Arabidopsis thaliana: one gene and its partner. The protein of the gene in region 1 interacts with the protein of each later gene in a pairwise test. Each region holds a gene or a part of one and is shown on either strand. Other genes may lie near its edges.

Evidence for each region.
Region 2: the proteins of AT4G22720 (region 1) and AT4G31430 interact in a two-hybrid assay, tested with the Arabidopsis thaliana proteins (one large-scale study listed by BioGRID).

Annotation. Positions count from the first base shown.
Region 1 is NC_003075.7:11,935,358-11,939,573, reverse strand, and holds AT4G22720 (Actin-like ATPase superfamily protein), read right to left. Parts: upstream 2,633-4,216; 5' UTR 2,431-2,632; intron 2,134-2,430; 5' UTR 2,108-2,133; coding exon 1,550-2,107; intron 1,465-1,549; coding exon 1,309-1,464; intron 1,205-1,308; coding exon 857-1,204; 3' UTR 605-856; downstream 1-604. Other genes in the region: CYP706A2 (cytochrome P450, family 706, subfamily A, polypeptide 2), read right to left, coding at 2,956-4,216.
Region 2 is NC_003075.7:15,246,774-15,253,147, forward strand, and holds AT4G31430 (flocculation protein), read left to right. Parts: upstream 1-1,603; 5' UTR 1,604-1,736; coding exon 1,737-2,007; intron 2,008-2,341; coding exon 2,342-2,394; intron 2,395-2,543; coding exon 2,544-2,632; intron 2,633-2,795; coding exon 2,796-2,902; intron 2,903-2,981; coding exon 2,982-3,073; intron 3,074-3,507; coding exon 3,508-3,678; intron 3,679-3,935; coding exon 3,936-4,125; intron 4,126-4,219; coding exon 4,220-4,284; intron 4,285-4,387; coding exon 4,388-4,442; intron 4,443-4,532; coding exon 4,533-4,611; intron 4,612-4,721; coding exon 4,722-4,801; intron 4,802-4,881; coding exon 4,882-5,020; intron 5,021-5,097; coding exon 5,098-5,431; 3' UTR 5,432-5,786; downstream 5,787-6,374. Other genes in the region: AT4G31420 (Zinc finger protein 622), read right to left, coding at 49-615, 886-990.

The DNA of each region.
Region 1 (4,216 bases):
ACTAATAACTTTTGTCATTTTCTCCTTTTTCCCACGTCTTTTTGAATCTATATGATGTCTTTTAAAACTTTTGAAAATTTTATATTTAGTATGCATGCTTACTTACATAGTTACATGTATGAATGTTTTATCTAGAACTCTAGTCTCTAGAAGGATATCCACATTATGCTACAAAAGTAATATAAATATCGACCAAAATTTGTGTAGCCTATGTGTCAAGGTTCTGATTTACACTTGAAAATACGCAAATGAGTTCTAGATGATGGAAAAATGATACACTATATCTCGAATGTTTTTACAAAATTATTAGATAGAATTTATCTCTACGTCAAATTGAAATTTTTGACAACTTGTTGTTGCCTTTACAATTTTTATTAGCAAGATCAAGATTAGATCATTATGTATAAATTCTATTTACTCACTTTTCGTTTAATACGCAATGCCATAGAAGTGTCTTGTGATTAATTGAACCATCTCATACGTTCTACATTAAAAAGTTCTTACTTTTTACTTTTTAGTAGTGCTGTATTTTCACAGTTGTTTTTGTATGATTAAGGAAGACTAATGCACTAATCTCTCCACCATTCTCGGTAGAAATGTCGACTTTGAGATATCATATTTTTATTAAAGCAATAAAACAAATAGCGAAATGCAACACAAGAAACATTTGAACTTTTTACAAAGCTCACTTTGAAATTTGAAAGTGTTATTACATTCAAACCAAAAGATATCAATCATATAATTTGGCTAATAAAACACATTTAAAAGTCTTAACTACTTAGCAAAAACCAATTTATCGAGTAGAGAGAGATTCAATCTCAAATTTGATGAAAAATGAACAAAAATGGGGACAGACTCAATTCGCTGCAACTTTCTTATCCCCAAGTAGTACAGCTTCTTTCTCTCGCCACACCGCATGAACCTCGTCTGTGCGAAATCGTTGTGTAAAGGTAGAGTCTTCGATCGGTGTTTCAATACCATTAACAAACGCGAGTAGACCTGTGTAAGCGATCATAGCTCCATTATCGATGCAGTAACGGTCATCTGTTGCAAACAGCTTACCATCACGTTCTGAGCACATAGTCCTCATCATTTCCTGCAAACGCTCGTTACACCCAACACCGCCAACTATCAAAACGTCTTTCTTGTCACAATGCGCCATCGCTCTTTCTGTGATCTCAACCAACATCGCAAACACCGTCTCCTGCAAGATCAACAAACATGAATTCATGATATTACTCTTAAACAGTCCAAAATTTGCATTCATGTGACAAAATTCATCAGTTAAGAACCAAGTGATAGCCTTACTTGAAGGGAATAACACAAGTCTGCTGGTGTACACTCGTTATTCTTGAGCTTCTCCTCTGCAGTAGTTTCGATATAACTCAAGATTCCGCTGAACGATACATCCATACCTTTAACAGCATACGGAAGATCAATAAAGTTTTCTCCTTTCTTAGCAAGCTAGTAACAACACCAAAAACCGTGTTAACATTGTTCTTGAATCTTTCAAGAATTCAAATTTACTTTACTTTCAAATGAAATCTACCTGTTCAATGTTATAACCAGGGCTTGGATCATTAGAAAGCTTCAAGACTCTAGCAAACCGATCCAAACAATTACCAACAGCAATATCAATAGTCTCACCAAAAATCCGGTACCTACCTTCACTATAAGCAATCACCTGAGTGTTACCACCACTCACATACAACACAACAGGATCATCAGCTCCAGTAACTACTCTCCCCATCTCAATGTGAGCCACACAATGATTCACAGCAACAATTGGCTTTTTCCAAAGCTGTGACAATACTCTAACAACAATGGCTGAAACCTGCAACGGCGCTCCCATCCCGGGACCTTTCGTATAACAAATACAGTCGATTTCTTCAGGAGTAACTTGAGAAGTCTCTAAAGCTGATTTGACTAAAGGAAGAACATGGTCAAGATGGTGATGTGCAGTCTCTCTAGGAAGAAAACCATGACCAGGTGGTGTTATATACGTATGCCGAGGATTTGCTAAGATAGTACCGTCTAAAGTCACAATTCCAACTCCAATCTTGTTAGCTGATCCTTCGAAACCAATGGCTATCATCTTCTTCTTCATTTCTTTGATTTAAAAACAGAAACTTTCTACACAGAGAACAACAAATTCAGGACTAGGTGAAGTAAAAATCCAAACTTTATTCTGAATCAATTTGAACTAACACAAATTATAGCCTTAGACGTTGAAGATGATGAACAAAATTAATCCTTTCGTTGATTGGTATTGGTATTGAGAGAGACCCAACAAAGAGATTCGTATAACCTAGGTTTCGTTTCCTTAGATGAAAGAGCCCTAAACCCTAATCTAAACACAGAAACCAATTCCATTCGAGACACAACACACTGAACCCATGTACTGTTGTTTGATTTAAATCAAAAACTAACCTGAAGCTGCGTGATGGCCGGAATCAGAAGTAGCTCACAAGCTCAAAGCAAAACGAAATTAGCCAGAGAGTTTAAAGAAGAAAAAGACGGCGATAAAGTCGCCGGGAGAGAAACGACGATGTTGAGTTTCTAGACTGTGTAAACGGCGTCGTTTATAAATGGGCCTAGCCCAATAACGCATATTTTGCCGCTAAGAAGGACTCATTTAGTGTGACGTGAAGTATTTGTGATATAATTATACATTAATTAATTTAAATAATTACAATTTTAATTTGTAACCTTCATACTAATTTGTAATTTGTTGACCCAAGAATTTTAATCGACTTGCCAAAAATATAACTACAATATAGTTTTATAGCTTTGGCATCGACTATTAGGCGTTATTATTGTAAGTAAAACTTTGTTATATTAAATGTTATCAAAAATGTAACTTGACACATCTTTTATACAAAGCATCAAAACTCCAGACACAGATAAAGAAAAGTAAACTTTAAACAAGAAAACTCAATTCAACATCCTTCTTACTTAAGCTGTGTAGAGTTTTGGATCGGACAACCTTGGAACAGGAATAGCCACAAGTGGAGACTTCAACTTAAGAACAAGACCAAACTTCTCTTCAACCTCAAACTTCTGTCCTTGAGGAGCTTTCCAATCAAAAGAGTGAAGAAGTGAAGCAATGTTGAACAGAACAAGTCTCTCAGCCATGTTTATCGCCGCACAAATCCTCCTTCCTGACCCAAAAGGCAAATACTTAAAATCACCTCCATTGAAATCAAGCGAATTCTCCAAAAACCTCTCAGGTTTGAACTCGTTTGGTTCATCCCAATTCTTAGGATCTCTATGAATCGCCCAAACGTTGATGAAAATCTTGGAGTCTTTAGGCACAGTGTATCCCGCAACCACCGAGGTTTCGCTGTTTCTGTGAGGAACAAGAAGAGGAAGCGTAGGGTGAAGCCTAAGAGTCTCTTTCATAACCGCTTGTAGGTAAGGAAGCTTAGGTAAATGTGATTCCTCAACGATGTTGTCTTTGCCAACAACTTGGTCAAGTTCTAGTCGGATCTTGTTTAACACTTCCGGTCTGCTCACAATCTCTGCCATGGCGAATTCGGATGCGTTAACCGATGTGTCGACACCACCAAGAACCATATCCATGAGGAGAGACTTGACATGAGTCATGGACAGAGGAGCTTTCTCATCATCATCTTTAACTCTAAGTAAGTATTGCAAGAAATCTTCTTCTTCTTCGCTCTTCTTTCCCACCATTTTGACGTGACTCTCCATAACTCTATCGAACAAGAGATCAAGCTTCTTCACATGGCCTTTCATCTGCTTAACCAATCCTTGGAAATCGAATCTTGAGAACAACGGAAAGAAATCTGAGTAGTTTTGAATCCCTTCTATGTCGGAGATATCAGATATTAGGGTTTTGAGCTCGTTTCCTAAGCTCGTTCTCTCGTCTCCTTCAACAGTGGCGCCCCACATCATTCTTGTCACGACGTTGAAAATGGAAAGAAATATTTGCTCTCCGAGGTTGACTGGTGATCCTTCACGAGCCATTTCCGACATGTGGACAATGGTTTGTCGGGTTTCTTCCCGGCGAGTGGAGTAGGAAGCTTCGAGACTTGGGGTAGTGAACATCTTCATGACGCAGAGCTTACGAAGTCTCCTCCAATGGGTACCGTAAGGAGACCAGAGGATGTCTTCACCACCGTAAGTGTTGATCTTTCCGACTTCAGGGAGATCGTGGTTGGCGAAAGTGATGTCGTGGGTTTTGAGAACCTCGCGA
Region 2 (6,374 bases), 3.3 Mb from region 1:
AAAGCTTGACAACAACGAACACTGAATGGTAAATTGATGAGTCCAAACCTTAAGACCAAGGTAAGTGAGAAGCCCTTCAGGATCCTTGAGATACTCAATATCGGGAATAAAGAAACCATGATGCTTATGCATGTGAAGCATACAGCTCTCTAAGGTCTTATGTTTTTTGTCACACATCAAACAGCAGGTTGGATCCAGCTCATACTTATCTGCATCACCATCATCATCCATATCTTCAGCAGATCCAGACTCATTCACATTCAACTTAGACAAAGAATCAGAGGCTTCTTCAGCAGCCAATTCCTCGTCAGAATCAACCTCCACCCATTCATCTTCACTATCATCATCAATGGAACCCCTGTGTTGAACACGGCGAGGAAGTTGCCTGATAATCGCTATATCCTCCTCTCCGTTGATTGATGTCCCTTGTGAAACCCGCAAAACATGGCTACGCGACTGAAGATGCTGCTCATGAGCCTTGGAACTCCTGTAACCTTTAGCACAGATTGCACAAGTATAAAGCATAGGTGCTTCATTTGATTTATTCTTCTCCTGAGCAAGAGCAGATTGTCTAGCCTCAAACAAGGCTTCTGTAACTCCAGGAACTCCAGCCACCTAACATAAAAAATTACAGAAATACAAAGATTCAAATGCCTAGAAGTAACCAAATCTATGATTATTGAAATCCTTGTTCCTTAGTAGAATAAGCTTCAAAACAAATTTTCATATAAACTCTACGATTCCATAACCTTAACTAAACAATTTCGATAGCAAAATGGAAAAGCTGTTTCTCAGAAACTTTCATCTCATCACCGACGCAAGATTTTCCCGAGAAACAGATAGGCTTGAGTTCAAATTCGATAGAGAAAGCAGAAGAAATGAAACCTTGCGCTTGAGATTGTAGCGGTGCCAATCGGATTTGTAATGAAGGTTACGTTCTTCTTCGTCCTTGAACTCCATGTTACACGCGTTACATGTTAAACCAGGCATCTTCTCTCCTTCAATATCGATCGATTCTAGAAATGGAAACTGGAGAAGAAAAGAAAATCAGAGAAAAGATAGTTGGGAGGATAAGATTTGTTGTTGATATGTGTAGAGCAACGACGGCTCGTAAATGGATCGGCGATCGTGTTTGTCTCTAAAAAAGCGTCGATTGATGATGATTGATTGCCATCAAAATGAAAAGGAAGGCGCCCCGCCCATTTTAGATCCGATCGGGTTGGAACTGACCCGTTCCTGACCCGATACAAGAGTAGCCCATTTGGCCCATTCTTTTAGCCTTTTTGTAACACTGACACAGTTGACGAATTAAGTATTACTGTATGAGTAACCAAAAAACATTTTTCTAATATTGTTTTTAAAATAACTACTTACAACTTGATTAATTACTTCGTTTAATCATGTAACTTTTTTTTCTTCCAAATTCTAATCTCTCTATTAAATTACTGCATTTATAAGATCTAAACATCATGTGATATGTTCAAAATATGAAAAGAGAAGAATATAATACATGATTTTACTACGATTAATTTTTTTTAATCGCAATGTTTTGTTTTTGCCTAATTTTATTAGTGGAAGAAATTTTAACCGCAGGCCTGTAATTTAGGAAACTAACTATTCACCCCCAATTAAAAAAAAAAACAAGAAGACGACAAATAACGAGAAATTACCAATTTTTCCTCAACACTTTCATTATTTCCTACAACGAACTTCTCCCTCCTCCTCTCACTTTCACCATGGATTCCGTCTCCGGTTACGCCGCCGGAGCAGGTCAGCCTCGAGTCGGTGGGAAAATTGTTCGACCACGACGCACCGCTGTTGTCAGGACGCCGTGTGAGCGCCCCGTTCAGAGATCCCGAGATCCTCCTCAGCAAAACCCTAGTTGGATCTCCAGGCTCGTTTACAAACCCGCCAGCGTAATTGCTTCCGGCGCCGGAAAATTCATTTCTTCCGTCGTCTTCTCCGACTCTTCCTCATCTTCGGAGGAGGACGAGGATTCATCTTCAGGTTTGTACCATTTATTTCAGTTTAGATAGGATTAATTTGAATTTTTGGTTTATTGTCTGGTCGAATCTGAAAGCTACCGTTTCGTTTGAAATGTGAAGTTTGACTTAAAGCTTTCCCATTTTCTCTTTCCTTTAATATGTGGGACTTAAGAGCAGTTAAGCATTGTTGTACTCTATTTAGTTAGGTTACTTCTAAGCTATAAACTTCATACTAATTCTAAAGCTCTAATTTTTATTCATATAATGTAGTTCTGGGATTGAGAATACCAACCAGCTTTGTTGTGTCTTATTCTTTTAATGTATGGATTTTTATATGTTTTCTTCTTTGTTTGCAGATATTGATGGTGATGAGGATGTTGAGAAGAACAATCCCGATTTTACTGAAGAGGTACTAACCACCTTGTTCGTTTTGGTGATTGCTATGCCACTGTAGTCCTATGATAATTGTTTGAAGTAAAGTTCGTGAAGCTAACACGTTTTCAACTGAGAGTTTTTTTTATAAAAGCATAATTTCAGTTTTTGTGCTTGTGTGAATAGGACCTTCTGAGTGCCCAGCAACCAAGCATTCAACGACTCAGTTCTAAGCGTGTAATTGAGCAGCTTCTCTTGCAAGAAACATTTGCAAGGTATTTCTCTGCCTGGCTTTTTGGACATCATAAGTAGCAGCCTCCTCGACTATTCTTATTATTTACACCTCATAGCTTAAAGAATCTTTCTGAGACGTGTGTAGTTACCAAATCTAAGCTGATCTTGTATCCTGCTTATTCATTCATGTGTATGTTGTTTCAGGGAAGAGGGTGATAGGTTAATAGATATCATCAAGGCTAGGGTTGTAGATCATCCCAGCGTCCCCTCTGCTATTGAGACGAGTCATGATGACTATGGATTGACAAGCGGTATGTTACTGATGGTAGACTGTGCAAGTAGACCGGATTAGTCTATGTGATAACGTCTTCTTTTCTATTTTATTTCTAGACGTGAATGTGGGTGAAATGTCCAATACAGCTGTCATGGAAGCAAGAAAATGGTTGGAGGAGAAGAAATCAGGATCAAGTTCAAAGTATAAAGTAAGTTCTGGAAACTTGCTTCTTAACTGTTCTAATTGCTGCAGCCTGCAGGTATCAACTTTTTTGTGATATCTTGTCTCCGTGCTCTAAGCCATTATTATTATAGAAGGAGACATCTTCTGTTTGGGTAAAATGATTTGATTGTTATATGCCAATCCATGTGATCAGCAACTTAAAGCTCTCTTGCAAAAGTAGGTTGTTCAGAATTCTGCGTGTGGCCATCTGGTGACGTTAATTCTGAAATGTCCTGATTGGGAAATACCTTTTTGTCCGCTTAAAATGCAAAAGATCCATATTGTTGCTCTTCTTTTGACTATGAAGACCATTTACTTACATGATTTTGGTCAACTTCTGATAGCTTCGCTTCACAGTATTCTTTTTCCATTGTACTTTAAATGATGATCACCATCTCAGCCATTAGTTTAAATCTCCAGGCAACTGAAGATGGTGCTGGATCGCCTGTGGACGTGGCCAAGTCTTATATGCGAGCTCGTCTGCCATGGGGATCTCCAGCTGCGAATAATTTAGATTTTCGATCACCATCATCAGCAAGAGTGCAAGGGACACCCCTTCCTTATAGCGCTGGAAACTTTTCCTCATCCAAGGTTAGAATTTTAAGTTCTCCAGCAGTGCATACTTTTCTTTTGGTCAAATGTTGTTTGAAAGTCTGAAGTCGTTTCATCTTGGTTTATGAGATAAAATTCTCTGCTTAACTTCTATTGTTTATGTTAGATAACCACGAGGAATTTGTGGGACACTATTTCCAGCTATTCCTAAAGAAAAGTTGCATACCGTTATATGTATTTTCAATGGCTCTCTCAAATTTACCCTTATTCATTCTGACATTGGTTACCAAATGCAGCTGAAAAGGAAGTCCGGTTCTAATCAGTCATGGAATATTCAAGATGAAATTCGCAAAGTCAGAGCTAAAGCAACCGAGGAAATGCTTAAAAGTCCCAGTAGTGTAGCCTCTTTGGAACCTAAATACAGCCCCTATGTTTTAGCGACTGATATGCTCAAAGGAAATGCTTCGTCTTTGAATGCTGATGGAGGTGTTTTTTTTCTTTCTTTATTCACACGTGGAAGAAGTTTTTCAGTAAGACATGAGTTGAAACTGAAATTAACTCTTCTTTTCTGTTCTTTCAGCTGTACGGAATGAACAAAGCAGAGCTCTACCAAATTCAGCCATACCTACCTCTGAGCACAATCAGGTATCAAGCACTCTTTACACTATGTGTCTCTCATTACCAAGAAAAAACTTGCAGTTCCAATCTTTCTTGTTTTGGTGTCCTTGTGTGTTTTACTTGAGTGAAGACTACGGAAGCTAATCAAGCCGTCAAAGAAACAGGAGTTTTACACACTAGATCTCGTTAGTTTCTCCCTTAATCCTTAATTTGTATACACTCTCTCATCTTCGCTTTTTATACTCTGTCTCATGGATTTAATGTGTTCTGATTAGGTGGAGTTGGTTTGGAGGAGACATTTATCTCCACACAAGGAGTCAAGCCATCTGAAGATACGAATACCGCTCCTCAAAGGTTCTTTTTATTGTGCTTATCCTTCCAACACAGATTGTACCTTGTTTCTTTTTGACAGATATGTTTTTTAGTATATCAATCTTCTGAAGTTTTTCAACTGTATGCGACAGTGGAACTGCTGTAGATGACTTCAATGATCAAGATGGCGATTTTATCCAACCTACTTCTACTATCGGAAACACCACAAATGGTATACATTGGATGTTGAATTCCTTTGGTTCTGATTTTTAGTTGGGTTCTCTTAATTTACTTGCGCTCCTATTGATGCAGCTGTCTTGGCTCTTGGGGCAACTTTGGATCCTACTGGGAACTCTTGCATCCCTAAAGATGTGTTTGAAACATCAAAAGAAGCTGATGAAATAGGCGCATCACGTCATACTTCTAACGGTTTCCCATCTTCATCACCTAGGTGAAAAGCAACTCCTTTGTCTGGCTAGTTTGACATGATGACATTATTTCCTCCTAAGCAAAGCCTTACTTTTTCAGTTCACCAGCGGTTATGGAAGGTCAACCAAAACCCACACCACCAGAAGAAACCAAGGCTTCTCAGCCTATAGCTGAAATTCATGGTGATGATATGACAGTAGGGAATGGCTCAGATGGTGCAATTAATAACGAAAGCAATGACAGCCACTCAAGTGCCTCTAACAGTTCAAGCACCCATGAAGAAGAGTGGCTCCCAGGAGACCAGTCTCTACCTAACTCAAACTCAGCAAGTAGCAGCCCGGGAAATACCAAGGTCTTGGCATACAGCAGAAGAGGAAGAGGCCGAGGTAGAGGAAGAGGCAGAGGAGGTCGAGGCAAAGGACGGGCCAAATAAACTTTGTAAGATGAGCTGTACACAACAAACACAATGCAGTAGGAGAGTATTATGATGAGGTAGGATTATGTGACATCTCTTTTAGATTTGAATCCCACTCTGTTTGTGTTTGGTCTTTGGTCACTTCGTTATCTTTTTAGGTTATCTTGTAGTATTTGAGTTAGGAGGATTTGTCTTGTCGAGTTATGTGGAATTGTGTCTCTGTTGTTTCTTTCATTTGTCTGAAATCTCTAATGTTTAATGTTGTAAGTTTGAAGCTTGGTTTCGTTCCAGCTGACGAAGCTTTGTAGTTTGCAGTTTCCATATGTTGAAACTCTTTTTCTTTTGTTCGATGCCAAATTTTTAAATCTTTTTTACTTGACCAAAAAGCCAACACCTAATTTTTTTGGGGGAAATCTCAAGTACTAACACCACTCATCTTTTAACCTCGTAAAGTGTCAAGTAAACAAATTCTGACATGATCCAATATTAGATGAGATCACTCAGATCAAAACATTGTAAGATGAATATAATCAAATGGGTTCAATCTAGTGTTACACAATCTCTTACCAAAGTACAAAAGCAATAACGAGCGAAAAGAAGAAACCCAATAACCAATTTTATCAAGACAGACAGAAAGAGAGAGAGAAAAAACAAAACAGACAGAAACAAAAGTGAAGAAAAACGAACAACAAAAACCCAATAAGCAGCGATCGAAGCTAAAATAAACACAGAAGAGCGAAAGCGCTCAGACATTCAAATCTGAAAAGCCATACGAAAGAAGAAGCCACGAAGATTCAATCGAAGCAGAAGTGTATTATTAAGAAGCCGAGAAATCATTGGGTTGGTGTCGGAACTCGGAAGTTACTTGTTTTGTTCCGATTTTTCTTTTGTCTGAATTCTTTCTGGTCAAATCTTCCAACACTTGTTCTTCTGCTTACAAGCTTGGGTCCCGCTTCTCATT